Macaca mulatta: one gene and its partners. The protein of the gene in region 2 purifies or fractionates together with the protein of the main gene of each other region. This does not show direct contact. Links are inferred from orthologs where the notes say so. Each region holds a gene or a part of one and is shown on either strand. Other genes may lie near its edges.

Region 1 (4,593 bases), on a different chromosome or scaffold from region 2:
AAATGCCCTATAAAGCCAAATCACATGACCTTCATCATTCTCTCCCAGGCCTTGCAGGAGCATGAACTCTTCCTTTAAATCTGTTGGCGGGGGATGTTGAACTTAGCAGCATCTTGTTTGCAGGCATAAACTGTCCAGTGTCACCTAGCGACTCTAGAGGGCTCCTGCTTCTGGTTTGGGGGCTCTTGGCTCTGTCTCCACTTCATCTCCTAGAGAAGGCCATTATGTAGGACTTCTTGGCAGGGGAAGGTGCCATTCACTCACTCAACCAGTATTAATTGGGCACTGCTTTGTACCAGGTGCTTTATGTTTGAGATGCTAGGGATAGAGCAATAAATAAAGTAGGCGTTTTCGTGCCCTCCCAGGGCTTACGTTCTCACGGGGGTGTCAGGTCAGTCATCTTTCCTATCAAGGTGGCTTCTCCCAGCGTCCTCAGAGTTATGGAGTGACTGACCACGAAGGCATAAGAATACACTACCCACAGTGCTGGTCGGAATACCCGGTTGGAAGATCAGGACCAAAAATGGTTGCAGCTTGAGCCATTCAGCAGTTGTCATTGATTGATCCATTGGCTACTTAATCTGTTTGTTCATCTGTTAGGGATTCAGTCAGCCAACATTTATTCAGCACCACTGTCTTCCAGGCAAATGCTGAGTGCTGAGAATCCTATGATAAGCAAAATAGATAGAATGCCTGCCTTCGAGGGGCTTCCACTTTAGTTGGGAACACATTTATAAATAAGTAAGAGAGGGCCAGACACGATGGCTCATGCTTGCAAACCCAGCACTTTGAGAGGCTGAGGTGGGCAAATCACTTGAGGTCAGGAGTTCAAGACCAGCCTAGCCAACGTGGTGAAACCCCGTCTCTGCTAAAAATACAAAAAAATTAGCCAGGTGTGGTGGTGGGTGCCTGTAATCCCAGCTACTCAGGAGGTTGAGGCAGAAGAATCACTTGAACCCAGGAGGCGGAGGTTGCAGTGAGCTGAGATCACGCCACTGCACTCCAGTCTGGATGACAGAGTGAGACTCTGTCTTAAAAAAAAGTGAGAGAAACCAAGTCTGACATTTTACTGTCTAATGCCATTTTATCAATGATAGGTGCTCTTTGAAGTAATATTTTAGATATGCATAAAAATAGATGATACATAAAAATCAGCTCAATAATGTGACATAAAACTTGTAACAAGACTCAAAATGGGGATCACGGTGGGTGAGTTATTTTTATTCCAAGCCGTAGGCCCATTTTGATGAAGATGCACACAGACTGGGATGTAGTAGACTCTCGGTGCATATTTGTTGGATGAATAAATGAGTGAGAATATTTTGGCCACTCATTTGTTGAACGAGTGAATGCTGTTCAGAGACAACTTATGGACCTTTAGAGAAGAATCTCGAACTCAATGCCTGATGGCACCTGGCTGGCAGTGTTAGCGAGTGAAGCAGACTGGGATGGGGAGATGTGAAGGAACAGTGGAGTCTGAGGCAAACTAGAACCGCCCATCTCAAAGGGCCGGCTCCTGCACAGCTTGACTCAAGTGAGGTTTGAAGGCCCAGGCTGCTAAATCCTCCAGTTTTTTAAGAGAAGTTGGAAATCTAGATTTTTATGTCACCAATAGTTTAAAAAGACATTGTTGGCCAACACAAGGTGGTGGGTGAGCAAACAAAACATGTTTGTAGGTTGCTGGCTTTCAACCTCTGTTCCAGATTCCTCCAGTGTTAGTTCATGGGCTCTCTTAGTAGGGGCTTAAAAAGGGCTTTGTCTTTTCTGACACCTGGCCCCTCCCCAGTCTTCCTCCAGCCGTGCATTTGGTCAGCACCCCTCATGTACCTTTCATGTCTCATCTCACCTCCAGGTCTTTGTCTGGGTTGGAAAGGATTCTCAAGAAGAAGAAAAGACAGAAGCCTTGACTTCTGGTGAGGACCCAAGTCCCTGGGGGAAGGGGGGGTCCGTTGCTTGTGGGGTGGTGGGAGTGGCTTCTGTACAGGTCTGGGAATGAGCATCATTTCTAGGGGACTGATGGACAAGATAGGGTGGGGACTTCCTCCTCTGTGGCCAGCCCCTTATAAGTCCTGCCTGGGGTAGTGAAGAACACATCTTTCAGAAGCCTCAGGGTTTCTGAAGGAACTGATCTGTTCCAGAGGAAGGAAGGAACAGATGAGAAGTCTCTTCAAGTTCCCAGAATACTCAGGAGCTGAACTTGTCAAGGTTTAGATGTGGCAAAGCAGGCCAGGCATGGTGACTCATGCATGTAATCCCAGCATTTCGGGAGGCCAAGTCAGGAGGATCACTTGAGCCCAGGAGTTTGAGAGTAGCCCAGGCAACATAGTGAAACCCCATCTCTAGAAAAAATACAAAAAAATTAGCCAGGTGTGTTGGTGTGTAGCCGTGGTCCCAGCTACTCAGGAGGTTGAGGTCAGAGGATTGCTTGAACCCAGGAGTTCGTGGCTGCTGTGAGCCATGATTGCATCACTATACTGTAGGCTGGGTGACAGAACGAGATGGTGTCTCAAAATGAAAAAAAAAAAAAAAGAAAAAGATGTTGCAAAGCAGATTCCGGGTAGCTGAATAGATCTGATTTATGGGCTGGGAACCCAAAAATTGGTTCCCATATCTTCCAGTAGGGGACTACAAGGGAAAGTAATAAACTTTATGAAGCAGGAGGTTAAGCCATAACTCCATCCCTTCCTGTGTTCCTGAGCAGGGTGGTAGAGAACCCACGTGGGTATCATGCCTTTAAAGGAGGATGGTGCCCAGGGCAGGGGGTGGGCAGTAGGGACAGTAGGACCATAGACCTACTGTCTTTTGACCTTTGACCTACTGTCTTTTGACCTTTGACCTTCTTTGTCAACTGCTGTCCTGAGTCACCCTCTCCCTGGTGTGGGAGGCACTAAGAATTCCTGGGGTTTCCTTTTCTTGCACGTGTGTCTGTAGCTAAGCGGTACATCGAGACGGACCCAGCCAATCGGGATCGGCGGACGCCCATCACCGTGGTGAAGCAAGGCTTTGAGCCTCCCTCCTTCGTGGGCTGGTTCCTTGGCTGGGATGATGATTACTGGTCTGTGGATCCCTTGGACAGGGCCATGGCTGAGCTGGCTGCCTGAGGAGGGGCAGGACCCACCCATGTCACCGGTCAGTGCCTTTTGGAACTGTCCTTCCCTCAAAGAGGCCTTACAGCGAGCAGAGCAACTCTGCTATGAGTGTGTGTGTATGGTTTTTTTGTTTTTTTGTTTTTTACAGTATCCAAAAATAGCCCTGCAAAAATTCAGGGTCCTTGCAAAATTGTCTAAAACATCTGTGTTTGGGAAATTAAATTCAATAAAAACATTTTGAAGTGTGTACTCTAGTGTGGCTCAGCTGTTTCCTTGTGTCCATCTGACAGTGAGAGCGAGCGTCTGCCCTGTCTATGTCCCTGGTAATTCTGAGAATGCCCAGAGAGGTGCCTCGCATTTGCCTGTGAACTAGCAGAAAAGCTGCATCCACCCTGTGTGTGAATCCTGGTGCCCTGAGAGGCGATGCCACAGTGAGATGAGAGGTGTGTAGATTGTCCTGGGGGATACCTATGTGAAAGGAAATAGGGAGGGCCCAGGCGCGGTGGCTCACACATGTAATCCCAGCACTTTGGGAGACTGAGGCGGGCGGATCACCTGAGGTCACGAGTTCAAGACCAGCCTGGCCAACATGGTGAAAGCCCGTCTTTACTAAAAATAAAAAATCAGCCAGGTGTGGTGGCACATGCCTGTAATCCCAGCTACTCAGGAGGCTGAGACAGAATCTCTTGAACCCAGGAGGCGGACGTTGCAGTGAGCTGAGATCGTGCCATTGCACTCCAGCCTGGGCGACAGAGCGAGATTCTGTCTCAAAAAAAAGGAAATAGGTGGGGAACCAAGGAAGACTGGGAGAGCCATCAGACCCTAGACGCAGGTCTGACCCTAGGTGGAGAAAAAGGGGAGAGAAGGTTGCACGAAGTGTCTTAGTGGTCATTTATTTAATCCAGGAAGATTTGGCAAAGCTTGTCGGCAGTCCCAAAGCCAAATTCAGTGTTCCTTTTAAATTTAATGGTATAGTCCCATTTTCATTGTTTTTTACTGTGGCAAACTACATAACAACGTATTTATTTTAACCATTTGTAAGTGTGTATTTCGGTAACATTGCATATACAGTGTTGTGTAGCCATCACCACTCTCTGTACCTAAACCTTTTTGATAATCCCCAGTATAAACGCTCTGCCCGTTAAATACTAATCCCCCATTCTTCCCTATTCGCCAGCCCCTGGTAACCTGTGTTTTACTTTCAGTCTCAGAATTTGACTATTCCAGGGACCTCATTTAAGTGGAATCACACAACATTTGTCCTCTGTGTGTGGCTTGTTTCACTTAGCAGAATGTTTTCAAGACTTATCCCTGTTATAGCATGTATCAACTTTTCACTCCTTTTTGTGGCTGAGTAATATTCTACTGCATGTCTATACCACATCTGGTTTATTTAGCCATCAATGGACTCTTCGGTTATTTGTGCCTTTTCGCTATTGTGCATAAGGCTGCTATGAACATAAGCGTCTGTTTGATTCAAAGTGTACTTGAGCCAGAGTCAAAG
Region 2 (5,707 bases):
ATGTCTGTCTGCATCCTATAGAAATGAGGGGATGAAGATAACATGGAAGGGTGATGGGTGCGGAGACCAGAGGAGTGGGCTCTAGGGCATGCCAGCAGGGAACACCCTTGCTTCCCTGAAAATAGGGAAAACTGAGTGCAGGGTGTATGGGAACTCTCTATACTATCTTTGTAACTTTTCTGTAAATCTAACACTGTTCTAAAATAGAAAGTTTATTTAAAAAATGTTGATGGCAAGAGGTGAGAGTGGGCGTGGCTGGAGAGTTTGTAGGTGGCTGGTGGGGAGGCAGGAATTTGAGGAAGGAAGAGCTTAGATGCATTTAGGGCTTCTGTTTTTTGGATGCAAAATTGAGTGTGCAGGAGGCTGGGGGGTGGGGGGACGGGCGGGGGGTTGGTGAGGAGCTGTGAGCTAGGACAAGTCAAAGGAAGTTGGAAGAGGCTGAGGCCACAGATGCTCATGGCCAGCCATCTGTCTGCCCCTCCCCGGCTCCCTCCTCCCCAGAATTCTGCTCTCATGCCTCAGGGTGGGGGATGACTGAAGCCCTGTCCCCCATGGCTCTCCCCACTTCCCTTTCCCACCTTGTGTCACCCACTCCCTTAGGGATCCCCACTGCATGCCAACCATACCTACTGGCCAGTTGGTCCAGTGCACAGGGCCTGGGTCTCTCCCTGCCTGGGCCTCACTCTAGTAGAGGCCATGGAGAAACTGCCACGGCCAGTGGTCCCTAGACATAGTGGGCACTGACTTCCCAAGGCAGGGCCTGTGAACATTTTGAGTTTTAAGAGGGTTCTCCCAACTCCAGAGCACCAGGAACCGCTGCCACATAGGCAGCACTGCTCTCCTTCTCTTGGCATAGCCAGTTACCCAGTGCAGAACTCGGAGGCCGGGCTAGAACCACCTCCTCCTCCGTGGTGCGGATGGGACCAGGTGAAGTTTGTTCAGGGAGGTCGAGGTTGGAGACTTTGTTGTGGTCCACTGAGCACTGTGGACGGTTTCAGGGTCCTCACCCAGCAAGGAACGGAGTTCTGGGAGGCCCTGGCATGGTGTCCACTCCCTTGCAGGGGACTTTTCTGAGGCCCCCTCCCCTTCTGTGCTTAGAGTTTTAGGAGATAAAGGTGCCAAGAGGCTGGCCCTGAGCGTCCTTGGAGGAGCTCTGCCCTGGGAGTCTGGGGTTAGGTGCTGCTTCCGGGACTCTACTTGGGACTCCTCTGGGATGCCTGAGGCTTGGGAGAGAACGCAAAGGATTTCCTAGCTAGCCCCGTCTCAGAGGGCACAGGCTTGGAGGGGAGGAGAGGCCTGGAATGGAGGGATAATGAGCCGGGTAGCGGCTGAGAATGGCCTGGAATAACTGGTCATGGAGCCGAGATGGGGGACTGTGGTTGGGAATTGGGAACTGGGATCAGGATGAGACTGGGATGGGCTGGACTGAAGAGGTTGCCGTGAGAAATGTTGCGGGGGAGGGGGAAAGTGCTAAGCATGGGGCTGAAGCTGGGATGGGAAAGGAACTGGGTTGGATTTGAGGGTGGGATGCAGATGGCAGTGGATATGATGATAGACTAGGCATGGACCTCTCAGAGAAGGAGACGGGCCAGGGGTGGGCTGGTGTGTGACCTGGCTTGGGATGAAAATGGGTTTAACATGGAGTGGGACGCACCAGGAATGGAGATCAATGAAGCAATGGGTGGGGCGGGACCGGATTGGGACGGGGGGTGGGCGGGGGGAGGTGGCGACGGGGCTGGGTTCGGGGCTGGAAGGAGGGCTAGCGCCGAAGTTACGGACGGGGCAGGTGAGGGTTCGGGACGTGGGTGGGGCTGGCCCCGGAGCGGAGCGCAGGGGCGGCGGGTGAGGGGCGCGGGGGCGCCCGGGGCAGGCCGGGAAGGGGGGGCGGGCCTCCCCCTGGGCCGGGCCGGGGCGGCGCTAGGACCGAGCGAGCGGAGGGAGCGAGCCGGGCGGAGCCAGCGCCCCCCGCCCCCCGCCGGCCGGCTCCCCTCCCCCGGCCGCTGGCTCGCTCGGCTCGCGACGCTGCAGAGGCTCCGAGGCGGCGGCGGCGACTCCCTCTTTCCCTCCCTCCTCCTCCGTCCGCCCGTCCGTCCGCGCGTCTGTCCGTTCGGCCCGGTCCGGCCCGAAGCATGGCCGGCGTCAGCTTCAGCGGCCACCGCCTGGAGCTGCTGGCGGCGTACGAGGAGGTGATCCGAGAGGAGAGCGCGGCCGACTGGTGAGCCCCCCGCCCCCGCCCCCGGCCCCTTTGTCCCCGCGCCGCCGCCGCGCCTTTGTTTCTCTCCCGCCCCGCCGCCCCGCCGCCGGGAAGGGAGGGGGACCCCGAAATGGTGCAGCGGGCCGGGAGGGCCGGGAGGGGCTGCCTTTGTGCGCGCCGGGGGAGGGGCCGGCGGGCCAGGCGGGGCACTGCCGGGTCCCAAGTGCCCGGAGGCGGCCCCAGGCGCGCGGTGGGAGCGGCGGCCGGACGCGGCCCGGAGGCGCGGGGTCCCGATGTGGGGCCCAGGGCCGCGTGGCCCTGCGGGAGCCCATCCCCCACCCTACCCCCGGGCCCGGGGGACAGGTGTGCACGGGGCGGCCAAGGGCACCTTCGCCACCTTCGAGCGGGCGAGGTCCGGGTGGGGACGGGGCGGGGACCGAGCTAGCGGAGCCAGCGCAGCCTGCCTGGTTCATCCCGGCCCGGCCACAGCACAAAGGAAAGCGAGGGCGGGGGAGGAGCGGAGCGGGATGGGGGCCGGGCGCCCCGCCCACCGGGGGGCCTCTCGGAGTGGGCCGCCCTCCCCCCGGAAACCTGGGCTGGAGTGAGGTGGAAGGATGTTTGCTGCCACATGGCGACCGCGAAGTGACTCCCTTACCGCCGCGGGTCGCGGAGGAGGCAGGGGTGAGCTCTCCTCCCCTACCTGAAGGGGACTGCGGGGACTAGGCAGCTGGCTGGGGGGCACTGAGCTGCCTGTCTAGGGCGCCAGCTGAGGTCCCTGGGAGGAAGCCCTCTGGAGAACAAGTGTGGAGGGAGCCCCGAAAGAGGGCTGAAGGGGTGAACAGATCCACGGGCCCCTACCAAGGGGCCCTCGGTCCCTGATGGGGGAGGAGCTGGGCCGCCCCTCTCCCCGCCCCCCAACTGCTGTCTCCCCCTGAGCTGGGGGAGGGGATGGACCACCTGCTCTGGGGCTGGCTGGCGGCGGAAAGAAGAAACCGAGGGGTTCCTCACTGCCCCATCCTGGAATCCTCTTCCTCCCCGCCCCACCCCGTAATACTCTTGGGGAAGGTGCCCATCTGGTTCCTAGGCCTCCTCTCCCCGCTGGCAGATGGGAACAGGCTCTTCTTGAGGAAACTGAGGCAAAGAGGAGGGCGGGTCTGAAGGACCCCGCTTGGGCTGGCCTCACCCACACACTGGGCGGGCAGTCAGGTGGAGACTCTGACCTGGGGGCTCCTGGAGGAGAGGATGAGATGGCTGGGCATCCATGGCATGGTACTGCAGCACTGGCCAGCAGCCAGGCCTGGAGGGATGGACGCGAGAGAGACAAGCTCTCGTGTCCTGCAGGTCAGTCACAGGAGAGGCCAGCACAGACTCAGCAGGCAGGCGGCCCACCCATTGTCCCAGCCCTGCCCCAGGGGGCTGAGATCATGGGAGGAGCTCTGGGCAAGTGGCCGGCTTGGCCTGGTGTAGGAGCTGGCTTCAGGGTAAGGCCCCGCCTGGGGAGAGGCACAGCTCACCCCAGAACACCTCCTTCGCCCTCCAGCCTGGAGGGGTGTTGTCTGCCACCACCCCATTTTCTCCTAAAAGCATAGCCCTGGTGGCCTATTGCCAGGGCCACAGAACCCCTGTTGCTCAACATCCTGCTCAACAGAGGCCTGCCCCCCCCACCCCAGCAGCATCCATGTGGCCAAAGCGAGTTATTCATCACTGGTGTGCGTCACCCCCCATCTGGGTTGTGTGTGGGACACACAGATGCACACATGCACATATTTGTTCACTACGGGCCCAGATCACATTTTGAAAAAGGGGTGTGAGGATCACTTTCTGCACAAGAGGATATGAATACCCCAGTGCCCAGCATGGAACCAGGGGTGCAGTGAGGTCTGAAGACTCAGAGGCAGACGCTGCCCGTAGGTCCAGAGGGAGGGGTGTCGGGTAAATGGCTGTCTGCCCCCGCTTACCTTGCTTCCAATGGGGAGGGGTGGTTGGGGGGGAGTTCACTCTAGGTGGCAGGGCCTCTGAAGTGGACCACTACTCTGGCACAGGGAGCAGGGGACCCAGGAAATGAGGTTGTATAGTGGGAGGGGCCGCTGTTGTCCTGGTTGTGATATGACTCACTGTGATCATATACAAGTTCCTGGTCCTCTTGGAAAGAAAAAGGATTGGGCCCAGCCCTACCTCAGATACTGAAGGACTTTCTAGCACCACCATCCTGAGAGTGATGGTCCTGAGGGGTCCACCTGCCCTCACCCCCCAACCCCAGCTCACCCGAGGGTCTCTGGAACTGCCACATTCCAGCTCCCATCTCACACTAGTTCAGTATCTCTGGCTAGATGGCTTCTAAGTTGGTGTCAATATTACACATGCTTATGGTGTGCGGTGTGCTGGACCCCAGGACCCAGAGAGCAGGATGTGCTGATTGACTGAGTCAGCGTTCCTGCCTTCAGGAGGCTTACAGTTGGGGGCAGTGTCTGTCTCTAGGAGTTGGAGCTGGTAAGATATGTAGGGGTCCTCTACCCCATCCTGATTCCCTGTGGTTTCACCAGCTTCCACCTGGTGCAGCACCAGGCTCGGGATGCCTCTGATGTGTTTGAGAAGCACTGGTCTTTGTATTCCTGCTGGGATGTGGTGGGTGCTCTGGGAGGGGCAGCTCAGGGGAGGCTGCCGGGGGCCAGCAGCCAGCACTGGGCTCTGAAGAACGGGAGGATTCCACTGGGAATAAGCGTGGGGTAGAGGAGCAGGTCTTGCCTTCCATGTGAAGAGAACAACATAGGCAGAGGCTCCAGGGTGAGCCCTGTCCAGAACCCTGCCTGGGTCAGGGAGCCGTCCAGTGTGGCCCAAGTGTGTGGTGTGGACAGGGCAGTCTGATGGAAAGGCAGGCTGGAGGGTTTGAACTGGGGTATGGTTTCTGCTGGAGAAGGGCTGTCGCTGGAGCAGGAAAAGGTGGCCGGAGGTGGGTAGGCAGGGGCTGAGGATGGAAGGCGCCCCAGGGAGCCTGGGCAGGCCAAGACAGGTCCTCTCAGGGACGCTTGATGTCTAGAGCAGTCTCTAGGAACTAGGGTCCCTGGGCTCTGCCTCAGTTTCTCATCTGTGCATGGAGAGGGACAGAGCCTGCTTCTCTCAGGGCCCTTTGTTCCCGTGGTGGGTTAGGGCAGCAGAACAGGTGGTGGGCCAGCTGTGCTGGGAGCAGCTGTCAGGGTCAGGCTGGAGCTGGGGGTAACAGTTGGACCAGGAACTCCCAGCCTCCCAGCCCACCTGTGTTCCTTCCTGGAGGTAGGAAGTGGGGAATTCAGGAAGGGGAGGGGCTGGGGCCATTTGGCCCTGGCCACAACCTCTTAAGATGTCCCCTCCGTCCCTCCCGCCTTCATTTCCTTTGTCCCTTCACTTCTGTCCTTTCTCTTTTTCCTCCTCTCCCTGTTTCTCCCTCTGCTTCTCCCCTCCTCTTTCTCTTCCCCTTTGCCCTCCCTTACTGCCTCCCCTCCTCACAGCCCCAGCCTCCTGCCTTGGCACGTGGGA
Region 3 (5,733 bases), about 100 Mb from region 2:
ATTTGCTATGCATGTGACGATAATTATCTGAGTGAACTAAGACTGACTCATTTTCCTATGCCAAAACTGCTCTTTTGCAAATAAAATTACTATCCTTTATAACATTACTTCGTTTGCTTATTGCTCTGCTCTTTATTCTTTCGTGTTTCAGGTAACCAATAAGAGAAAAAGTTTAAAAGTCCACTACGTCCAGAATGGCACTCAATAACTGAAAATTGAGGTAATTTTTCCGAAGTTCTTGTTGGAAGTACATCTACCAGTAGTGTGATCAGGCTCTCCCTCCCACATTTCCCTGCTAGTTAGGACAGGAGAAGCCCGGGGGTGCTGCTGCAACAGCGGTGGGAGTGGGAGATAGGATATTACCCGCTTGACACTTCTGCACTTCTGCTACGAATGATTCACTCCGGTTTGGCACATTTGTTGCAAGGAAATCTCCTCCCGCCGCTTCCTTGTTCGAGCTCCTCTCGGGCTGTCTCCTGTGCTTTGGCCTTTAAGGAGAAGCGAGAGCAGGTGGGCACACAGGAGCTCGCCGAGTCCTCCTCCCCCTGCTCCTTCCCTAATTTAGCAGTACTTCCGGCCGCGTGACATCATCCCCCGCACCCCGGTGACGTGAGCAGCGGGTGACGTGTGTGCGGAGAGGAGCGCGCTGACGTTGCTACTTAAAGGTCCTCCTGCGGGGAGGATGGAGACACAGCGCGAGCACCTGGTGTGGGGCGCGGAGGAGGCTGTGGCGGCCGGGAGCGGGGCCAAGAGCCAGCGGAGGAGCAGAGCGCACGGCCCGCCAGCCGCCGGCCTCTAGGGGAGGGGGGAAAACAAGGACGGACGGACTGAGGGCCTGCCGCCGGCCCAGCTCCCCACGAGGGCCGCTCGGCCCCGCACCACCATCCTCTCCGCCGCCTCGCGGCTGCTGCTTGCTCCCGCTGCCCACTGCCCGCAGGGCCCGTCGGGCTCCCGGGACCCGTCCGCGCACCAGCCCCCAGCCGCGGCTCCGCGGCGGCCACCGCCTCCCGCCCTCTCCCGCGAGCAGGGGGAGGTACCGCCCTCGCCCCCCCGTTCTCTCCGCCCCCTTCCCGCCCCCCGCAGCCCACTGCCTCCGCGCTCGCCTCACGCCGGCGGCGCTGACTGGGAAAGCGGCACCCTCCGCTCTGCCAGCCGGCCGGTGCAGGCGGAGGCAGCGGCGGGCTTCAGGCCGCCGGGGCTGGCGCTGCTCTGCCCGGCGGGAGCCGGAGGCCGGCGGAGGCGGGCGCTGATGGAAGTGTGAAGAGGCGGCGGCGGGGCCCGGGGAATGTGAGGCGGCGCGTGGCGGCGGCGCGGAGCGTGAGAGACGAGGAGCAGGGGTGGGGGCGCTGGAGCGGCGGCTGCGCTTCGGCTTCGAGCCCAGCTCTCCTGGCCCCGACGCGGTCTTAGCCTCCCGCCTTGGCTCGGGCAGGCGCCCGTCGACCCTTCGGCCCCTTTCGCCCGCCCTGGAGCTGGGGGCAGGGCGCCAGTGGAAGCGTGGGGCTTGGCTCTGTGATTCATTCATTCTCCGCCGACGGGAGCCTCAGATCCGCTGTGCTCTGAAGAGAGGAGGGAAGAGGGGGCAGCCGCGAATGAAGGGCCGGGCGCGAGCCGGGCTCCATTGTGCTCGGCGGCGGGGGGCGGGAAGGGGCTGAGGGAGGTGGGATCGGGCCCCCTTCTCCAGCTCCCCGGCGTGCGCTGCGCCCCCAGCCTGCTGCCAGCCTGGAAATGGCTCCGTTTATTCTCCTCGGGAGAATGAATCGATCCTGCCCAGCCTTCTCTTCCTCCTCCCCACCTCTTCTCTGCTCCGAGTCTTAGGAGAAGAAACATTAAAAAAGACAGATTCCAATGTGGAGTGCCGTGCAGGTTGGGAGCTGCCGGATTTGCACTTCGAGGAGATTTTTCTATGTAGTTTTTTTCCTAATGTGAGCGCAGGGAAGCCGTGGCATTACTGCTTTTGGGATTTTTATTCACGTGCACGTCGCGTTTGGTTGCTCGCTCCACCCCCGGGGACCTGGTGTGGTGGAGAAATTTGAACCCGCAGCCTTAGCTCTGAAAAGGCCGAGTTACCTGGCTTTCCCTGAGTGTCGAGGAGGACATGAGTGAAATGACCAGCGAACTCATTTTTTTATAGGACTCGGTGAAGCCGGATTCTGCATTTTCCTACTTGTAGACTCGTTTTGTGGAATAGAATTGATCGCTGTCTCCTCCGCAAAGCGTTTTAACTCGAATAAGCAAATGCCGCCTCTGTTTGAACGTTTTGGTATTTACAAGAAAGAAATCATTTTACCTAAGAGAACTAATTGAATTGGCAGCATCCTTGAAATACCTCCGGACAAGGATCTAGGGGTGGGGGTGGAAAATCAACTGCGAAATAGCAGACGGAGAAATTCCTTTGGAAGTTATTCCGTAGCATAAGAGCTGAAACTTCAGAGCAAGTTTTCATTGGGCAAAATGGGGTAAGGATTTTTGTGCTTAACACAGCTTCGAATCTGTTTATGTATGTGTATTATTGAGCGGTGGTGGTGATTGCGTTTTGTGTTTTCAAACAAACTTGCCACCTTGCTAAGCTGGTCATACTTTAAAGAAATAGGCATGCTAACCTTTTAGGTTATTTTTGCCTTTTTGTAGAGCGGTACCAGAGGTCGTAAACACATACATCGTTTGTAACTTGAATATGGATTTGTGAGTAATATTTACAAAGACAACGCATTCTACACTTTACTGGTCAGACTGCTGCATCAGTTTGTCATCAGAATCACATTGTCTTAGCTTTTGCTGATGGTTATCTTTCAAAGAGAAGTACTACACTCTCTCAGTACTTTTAGATAATCAGTTGCACAAAGGAACGATTGTAATGAGTGGTTAGACAACAGTCCTTGAAAGTGATCCAGAGTAAATTGTTGCCCTCACGGTGCCCTCTCTTTTGCCCTTGAATATCCAAAGCTAAAATGTATAGAATTGATTTACTGGGACGTTAAAACGAAAATCTGAAATTCAGTCTTACTGATGCGGTCACCACGGTGCGGGTGCATTCCGTACGAAAAGGCTTTTTGTTTAAGGAACTTGTTCACTCCTTTTGTTTTTCGCTTTTAAGCTCAGCCCTTCAGTTTGTGTTAACAATATCAGATCTACACCTTCCTTCGGACCCAGAACCAACCTAGAGTGCATTTTCCAGTCTTTTATTAACTCTTCACACTGTGGGTTGATGAAATGCTAGTGACACTTCCTAATTTAAGCTGGAAACCCATAATATATTAATGGAGTAATCTGATTTCATTGACAGATTGTCATTGGTTTTTGGCGGAAGAACATCCAGAATTTTCTCTCTTTGTGTGTGTGTGTGTCGTTGAACAAACACATCTAAAGTGTAGTTGAGGGACAGGTTTTGAAAGAATGGACTCTGAAATTCATTGTGATGGTTTAGGGGTGTACACACGCTTGAAACTTTCTGAGGAAAGTTCCTGAATAGTACCTTCTTTTTGGAGTTAGAATTTGAAGTTTAATATGCATAACTTTGAAAATTTAGAACGTGTTGTAGGAGACTTTCCTCAGAAATGAATGACAAAGTGATAATTGTTTTAAAAACTTGAATGACAAGTGATGAGAGTATATATAACTTGCATGATTTGGGGGTACTGCTAAGAGTAATTAAAATGCCTCATTCTATTTCTAGCGCTGCTATTAGTAGCTTAGTGATCTGAGGCAAATTGCTTAACCTCTGTGGACTCTATTTCTTATCTGTAAAATGAAGGAATTAGAGATGACTTAAAGATTTCTTCAAACTGTAAAAAATGAATTATTTTCTTTTTATTCTCCTCATTTTAATGATCACTAGTTGGTTTCTGGAAGTCGATCTTTCTGATGGAGACCTTTTTCTCTCTAAGCAGTTTAAGCACTTAACGCTGAAAAATAATGGCATTTGAAAAATGTTCTGGATGAATTGCACCAATTTTACATGAGAAAAATACTGAAAAATACTACTGTTCAAAACCTTAGAAATATGGCTTCCCTTGAGCATCTGCAGCTCTGTTTAAAACATGTTGGAGGAAAAAAAAATCAAGCAGCAGTTTTTCATGTTGATGGCTGCATTTTGTCTAGACTGTGAAGTAGTAGCATCATGGAAGAAAATCAGTTTTCCACAACCTTTAAGCTGCATGAATGCCTGTCATTTTACCAAGGGAAGCTTAGGCTGAATATTTTTTTCCTGCCTCAGGTTCATTTGTACAAATAGCACAGGAGGACCCCAGCCCCATGCAGGTGGCAGCCTGGTTGGGGGTTGCACCAGTCCTGTCCTCACGTTGGCAGACAGATATCTAATCTGAAGCCTTTGTAGGGGCCTGGGCACCTTTGGGAGCCTTAGCTGGAACTGAAGCTGGAGCTGCAGCCTGGGCCTTGGTTTTATCCTTGTCCTTGGCCTTTGGCCAGGACAGCCTGAGCCCCTTGGCAGTGCGGGCATGAGCATGCTTCCCAGGCTTGGGGTGGGCAATGTAGTCAAGTTGATTGAGCTTGCGGATGACACCCTTTGGGATCTTGGGCTTAACCTCCTTGGGCTTTATGAGGGCCTTGATAACCTTGGCACATGTACTCATGGCCTTGGCACTGTTAGCCTGCATCTTTTTTAGGCCCTTCTTGTTGTGTTTCTTGGCAAATCGCATGTTCCTCAGGAACTTGGGGTCCACCCCCTTAAGAGATTCGTATCTTTGTGATTGGGATTTCTTGATACCATTTCTGTGCCATTTTCAGGACTGGTTGTGTGTGGTGTGGTTGTTGGTCTTGGTTATGTTTGCACCTTAAGCTACGGCTCCTGAAGTGCCTAGAACCGGAAGAGACAGGATGAATTTAATACTGAAGGGGCTACTGTTTAAAATGGGAAAGTAAGCCCCACACATAACATGTATTTAGACACTTAGCATAATTAATTTGTTTATAAATGAATGTATCTGTCCTTTAGTCAATAAAGTCCTATATATGGACTGAGGAGAAAAAGGAGCGAGCATTTTGTGGTGCTATTTTTTGGAAAGCCTGTGTTTGGGGCTATTACCCTTTCTCATTGATAGTGCCTTGTTTTATCTGAGTTGAGAGAGGAAGGGTAGGTGGAAGTAGAAGAGCGTACAGCAAAGCAAAGGCATTTGCTGATGTTTCTACACTTTATGCGTATTTATGCCTAATAAATGTTTGTGGAATTCGCATAGCTGCCTGGGCCTATTTCAAACAAAAGGAAACAGGGCTTTAAATGGCCTTTAAAGCTTTACCTTAGCAATCATTAATTACCTTGCTGTAATAGATATCTAACATTTAATACTCTGGGTAAAGTGTTTCATATATTACAACTTTTTTTTTTAAACTAATGTTAGGTTATGATAAGGATTTATCTTTGTCTTAATTGTAGATAATTATTGCAAGTCTAGGGGCAGTCTAAGCAAAGGAATTATTTTTAATAAAATCAGTGATTGGGCAGAAAAAAATTATGGCTCCCCTAATAGTAGTTTATGAACTTTGTGGAAATGGAAAAGAACAGCTGAAACTTGACAGTTGGCAAAGTCTGTCAAAGTATCTTGGATGTTGCATGAACTGTTAATTGCAGTGAAGGCAACTAAAGTATGGGTTTGTAAAATAGGTGTATCACATCCCCTAAAAATTAAGGCATTCACATATATAAAATGAAGTCTCTGAAAAGTTTTGAAACCTCTGTGAGAAGCCCCTGTTAGGTATGACCCCCACCCCCCACCCCCC
Region 4 (4,933 bases), on a different chromosome or scaffold from region 2:
TCACCATGTTGGCCATGCTGGTTTCGAACTCCTGACTTCAAATGATCCACCCACCTCGGCCTCCCAAAGTGTTGGAATTGCAGACCTGAGCCACTGCACCCAGCCTGAAAAAAAAATTATTTATTTATTTATTTTATTTTATTTTATTTGAGTTGGAGTCTTGCTCTGTTGCCCAGGCTGGAGTGCAGTGGCCCAATCTCAGCTCAGCAAGCTCTGCGTCTTGGGTTCACTTCATTCTCCTGCCTCAGCCTCCCAAGTAGCTGGAACTACAGGCGTCTGCCACCACACCCGGCTAATTTTTTGTACTTTTAGTAGAGACGGGGTTTCACCATGTTAGCCAGGATGGTGTTAGCCAGGATGATCTCGATCTCCTGACCTCGTGATCCGCCTGCCTTGGCCTCCCAAAGTGCTGGGATTACAGGTGTGAGCCACCGCGCCCGGCCAAAAATTATTTTTAAACGAAGGACATTTATTTTAAAACCAGGGTATGGGGGGAAACCTATCCTATTCTAACTGGAAAACTGGTATTGCTTGTCATAAATAGGTGGTAAATGTAAACATGTAAGCATTTAATACAACAAAAACAAGAATGGGATGACTACTTTCTCATTGACTTCCGATGTCTCTCAGAGCCTGAGACCTAAAAAAATAAAATTTAAAAAAAGGAATAATAACAGGTGTTAAAGACAGATTAGCACCCACCTCAGGCTGTCTTTGTTGAAATAGCCCTGATAAAGATGAAAAGGGGCCCAATGTGTTGGCTCATACCTGTCGTTCTCACACTTTGGGAGGCCGAGGTAGGTGGATCATGGGGTCAGGAGTTCGAGACCAGCATGGCCAATATGGTGAAACCCCGTCTCTACTAAAAATACAAAAATTAGCCAGGCGTGGTGGTGCGGGCCTGTAATCCCAGCTACTCAGGAGGTTGAGGCAGAAGAATCACTTGAACCTGGGAGGCAGAGGTTGCAGTGAGCCGAGGTGGTGCCACTGCACTCCAGCCTGGGTGACAAAGCGAGATTCCATCTCAAAACAAAACAAAACAAAACAAAAAAATGCTGGGTGCTGTGCCTGTAATCCCAGCACTTTGGGAGGCTGAGGCAGGAGGATCACTTCAAGTCGGGAATTTAAGACCAGCCTGGCCAACATGGTGAAACCCCATCTCTACTAAAAATATGAAAATTGGCCGGGCGCGGTGGCTCAAGCCTGTAATCCCAGCACTTTGGGAGGCCGAGACGGGCGGATCACTAGGTCAGGAGATTGAGACCATCCTGGCTAACATGGCGAAACCCCGTCTCTACTAAAAACAAAAAATTAGCCGGGCGAGGTGGCGGCGCCTGTGGTCCCAGCTACTCGGGAGGCTGAGGCAGGAGAATGGCGGGAACCCGGGAGGCGGAGCTTGCAGTGAGCTGAGATCTGGCCACTGCACTCCAGCCTGGGTGACAGAGCGAGACTCCGTCTCAAAAAAAAAAAAAAAAAAAAAATATGAAAATTAGCCAGGCATGGTGGTGCATGCCTGTAATCCCAGCTACTCAGGAGGCTGAGGCAGAGGCTGCAGTGAGCCAAGATCATGTCACTGCACTCCAGCTTGGACAACAGAGCGAGACTCCATCTCAAAAAAAAAAAAAAGAGGAAAAGGGCCATTCTGGGGAACATGGCTAGACCCCGTCTCTAGAAAAAATTAGCCAGGCATGAGGGCACACACCTGTAGTCCCAGCTCCTTAGTGGAGGGATAAGGTAGAAGGGTCACTTGAGCCAGGGAGGTCAAGTCTGCAGTGAGCCCAGATCATGCCACTGCACTCCAGCCTGGGTGACAAAGTGAGACCCTTTCCTAAAAAGAAAAAGAGAAAACGGGAATTCCTTTCCCTTTCTCAGCGTGGCCCAATGTATTTAAATGCCACCTCTGTGATCTCATGCCACCTGCCCACCCACCGTGGTTTATCATTCTTCAAACTTTCCTTCTTCCAAGGTGTGTGATAAGGGGATGGGTACAGTTCAAAAGTTACGGGGCTGTCACTGGGTGATGGTGACGTGTTTGGGAGGATGGACTGGGGTTTTACTGTCTTTTCCTCCCCACTCCCTTAGTTTGCTGAGAAGTTCCAGGAGGTGAAGGAAGCAGCCAGGCTGGCCAGGGAGAAATCTCAGGATGGCGGGGAGCTCACCAGTCCAGCCCTGGGGCTCGCCTCCCACCAGGTCAGCACTCCCTACTCTCCTATGCCTGCCTGGGCACCTGTGAGTCAGCCAGGTGCTCAACGGATATTAGGGGACCTTGATATTGGGAGACTGGGGCACTGTGCTGGTCCTCAAGACCCAATGCTTCCAGATGACCTAAAGTTAGACCCATGGCAGGGACCACGGAGGAGGGGTGTGGAGTGTGTCATAGAGGGTCTGGACCTTGCCTGGGGCCGGCGGGGTGCACCCAGTAGGTCCCAGTAGCAAGACCAGCTCAGGCCGGGCGCGGTGGCTCACGCCTGTAATCCTAGCACTTTGGGAGGCCGAGGTGGGCGGATCACGAGGTCAGGAGATCGAGACCATCCTGGCTAACATTGTGAAACCCCGTCTCTACTAAAAAAAAAATTAGCCGGGGATGGTGGCGGGCGCCTGTGGTCCCAGCTGCTCAGGAGGCTGAGGCAGGAGAATGGCGTAAACCCAGGAGGTGGAGGTTGCAGTGCGCTGAGATTGCACCACTGCACTCCAGCCTGGGTGACAGAGTGAGACTCTGTCATGGGAAAAAAAAAATCAGCTCAGATGGCAGGATGGAAGACTAGAAATTGAAATGCTAAGTGTGGCCGGGCGCAGTGACTCACGCCTATAATCCCAGCAATTTGGAAGGCTGAGGCGGGAGGAGCACTTGAGGCCAGGAGTTCAAGACCAGCCTGGCCAACATGGTGATACCCTGTCTCTACTAAAAAATACAAAAATTAGCCAGGCGTGGTAGCATGCACCTGTAGTCCCAGGAGGCTGAGGCTGAGGCCGGAGAATCGCTTGAACCCAAGAGGTGGAGGTTGCAGTGAGCCGAGATCGTGCCACTGCACTCCAGCCTGGGTGACAGAGTGTGACTCTGTCTCAAAGAAAAAAAGGAAAGAAAGAAATGGCTAAGTGTGAGGCAGAACAACTAACTGTCCCTGTGTGTTTTCCCATATTAATTTAGTCAGCTTTATTTATTGAGCACCTGCTGGGTACCAGGTCCAGGGCTGTGCAGAGGGGTTGCTGAGATGAAAAAAATCAGGCTGGACTCTGTCTACCCTCAAAGCCAGTGGTCCAGGCAGTGGGGTTGCTCCTGAAATATGGATTCAGCCTGGGCTGGACTTCCTGCTGACATCCTAAATGGGATGTTGAAGTTCGGCCGCAGGGAAGGGAAAGCAGGGAGCTGTTCGATTGTCCCCCTCCCCTACTTTACAGGTTCCAAGTATCTTGGTTTAGACTAACCTGCATCAGACTTGCTCCTGGGGATGGTGAAAGCCCAGGAAGGCAAGGTTGAGGGCGTGGGCATGGAACTCCCAGCCTAGGGGCCATAGGGAGCCATGGAGGGTGCATGAGGTGGGGGAGGGACACACTTGGATCCTGTGCTGTGAAGGACCTGCTTAGGGTGCGTAGGTCAGTTGGACCCCCGATGTGACGACCCCAGTCACATCAGCCTTGATCCCAGCTGATGTGGGGTCGTGACCTACTCTTCCCCATGCACAGGTGCCCCCGAGCCCCCTCGTCAGTGCCAACGGCCCCGGCGAGGAAAAACTGTTCCGCAGCCAGAGCGCTGATGCCCCCGGCCCCACAGAGCGGGAGCGGCTAAAGAAGATGCTGTCTGAGGGGTGAGGGGCGGGACTTGGGGGCGTGGCATGGGCGGGGGTCGGGGTGGGGGATGAGGAGGCGGTTCTCGGAAGCCAAGGGAGTGCCAAGGATCTAACTGTGGACCCAAGATCTGGGGAAGGGGATGAGGATATGGATGCTGCCCCATCCAGAGCCGACCCCGCCCCTACCCTGCGTTGGCCACGCCCCTCCGTATTGACCCCACCCCTGTCTCGCTGCTAACCTCGCCCAGTCTATGTCTCTCTGGGTTTAGGATAATCCTGGGGCGCCTCCCCACCCCGACCACGCCCCCATAGGCTGACTCTCCCCAAACTCCCATCCCTCCCCCGCCATTCCGACAGTGTCACTGGGTAGATTCCATGTGCCCCCTTCTTTGACTCGGTCCTCTACAAGACCCCACTTCTGCGGGACTGTGCCATCCCCAGGCTCAGCGCTCAGTGTCGCCACGTCCCCAGCCTTGCGTGGCCCTGACTCAGTCCCCCACCCCAGAGCTACCCCACCTCTGGCCCCGCCTCCTAGCCCAGCATTGCCCGTGACTCCGCCCCAGCCTAGCACCACCCACCCATGGCCACCCCCCCAGCCCAGCATTGCTGCTGACTCCGCCCCCAACCCAGTGCCACCCCACCCTGGCCCCGCCCCCTGGTCCAACCTCCCGCCCAACTCTGCATCCTCGCCAGCCTTGGCCCTGACCTAAGCTCAGAGCTATCCCACCCCTGTCCCCGTCCCAGCCTAGCATTGCCCTGATTTCACCCTCAAGCCCGGTGTCACCCCCTGCCGACCCTCGTGTCCCCGCAGCTCCGTAGGCGAGGTACAGTGGGAGGCCGAGTTTTTCGCGCTGCAGGACAGCAACAACAAGTTGGCAGGCGCCCTGCGAGAGGCCAACGCCGCCGCAGCCCAGTGGAGGCAGCAGCTGGAGGCTCAGCGTGCAGAGGCCGAGCGGCTACGGCAGCGGGTGAGGGTACCCCTCCGTCTGGGAGACACCCACCTGGCCCGGGCAACTGTAAAGGCCGCGCCTCCGCAGTTCCCATCTGCCCTGGGTTCATGGACTGGCTGTGTGACCTCAGCAGGTCACTGACCCAGCCTCAGTTTCTTGTTCTGTAAAATGGATCTGAGACAATGCCAACCTCAG

What was found.
Region 1: the proteins of DBN1 (region 2) and GSN purify together in Homo sapiens (co-immunoprecipitation; 3 studies listed by BioGRID and IntAct, counting the BioPlex papers as one, with this or other methods). This does not show direct contact. The link is inferred for Macaca mulatta from reciprocal best matches to the Homo sapiens genes DBN1 and GSN.
Region 3: the proteins of DBN1 (region 2) and HOMER1 purify together in Homo sapiens (co-immunoprecipitation; 3 studies listed by BioGRID and IntAct, counting the BioPlex papers as one, with this or other methods). This does not show direct contact. The link is inferred for Macaca mulatta from reciprocal best matches to the Homo sapiens genes DBN1 and HOMER1.
Region 4: the proteins of DBN1 (region 2) and HOMER3 purify together in Homo sapiens (co-immunoprecipitation; 3 studies listed by BioGRID and IntAct, counting the BioPlex papers as one, with this or other methods). This does not show direct contact. The link is inferred for Macaca mulatta from reciprocal best matches to the Homo sapiens genes DBN1 and HOMER3.

The regions. Positions count from the first base shown.
Region 1 is NC_133420.1:36,868,812-36,873,404, reverse strand, and holds the end of GSN (gelsolin), read left to right. Parts: intron 1-1,852; coding exon 1,853-1,913; intron 1,914-2,931; coding exon 2,932-3,101; 3' UTR 3,102-3,336; downstream 3,337-4,593. UniProt on the Homo sapiens protein: Calcium-regulated, actin-modulating protein that binds to the plus (or barbed) ends of actin monomers or filaments, preventing monomer exchange (end-blocking or capping).
Region 2 is NC_133411.1:186,453,694-186,459,400, reverse strand, and holds the start of DBN1 (drebrin), read left to right. Parts: upstream 1-2,016; 5' UTR 2,017-2,129; coding exon 2,130-2,215; intron 2,216-2,620; exon of another isoform or gene 2,621-2,875; intron 2,876-5,707. UniProt on the Homo sapiens protein: Actin cytoskeleton-organizing protein that plays a role in the formation of cell projections. Required for actin polymerization at immunological synapses (IS) and for the recruitment of the chemokine receptor CXCR4 to IS.
Region 3 is NC_133411.1:85,877,122-85,882,854, reverse strand, and holds the start of HOMER1 (homer protein homolog 1), read left to right. Parts: upstream 1-2,353; 5' UTR 2,354-2,451; coding exon 2,452-2,456; intron 2,457-4,222; exon of another isoform or gene 4,223-4,789; intron 4,790-5,733. UniProt on the Homo sapiens protein: Postsynaptic density scaffolding protein. Binds and cross-links cytoplasmic regions of GRM1, GRM5, ITPR1, DNM3, RYR1, RYR2, SHANK1 and SHANK3.
Region 4 is NC_133424.1:19,490,793-19,495,725, reverse strand, and holds part of HOMER3 (homer protein homolog 3), read left to right. Parts: intron 1-2,082; coding exon 2,083-2,190; intron 2,191-3,684; coding exon 3,685-3,806; intron 3,807-4,599; coding exon 4,600-4,756; intron 4,757-4,933. UniProt on the Homo sapiens protein: Postsynaptic density scaffolding protein. Binds and cross-links cytoplasmic regions of GRM1, GRM5, ITPR1, DNM3, RYR1, RYR2, SHANK1 and SHANK3.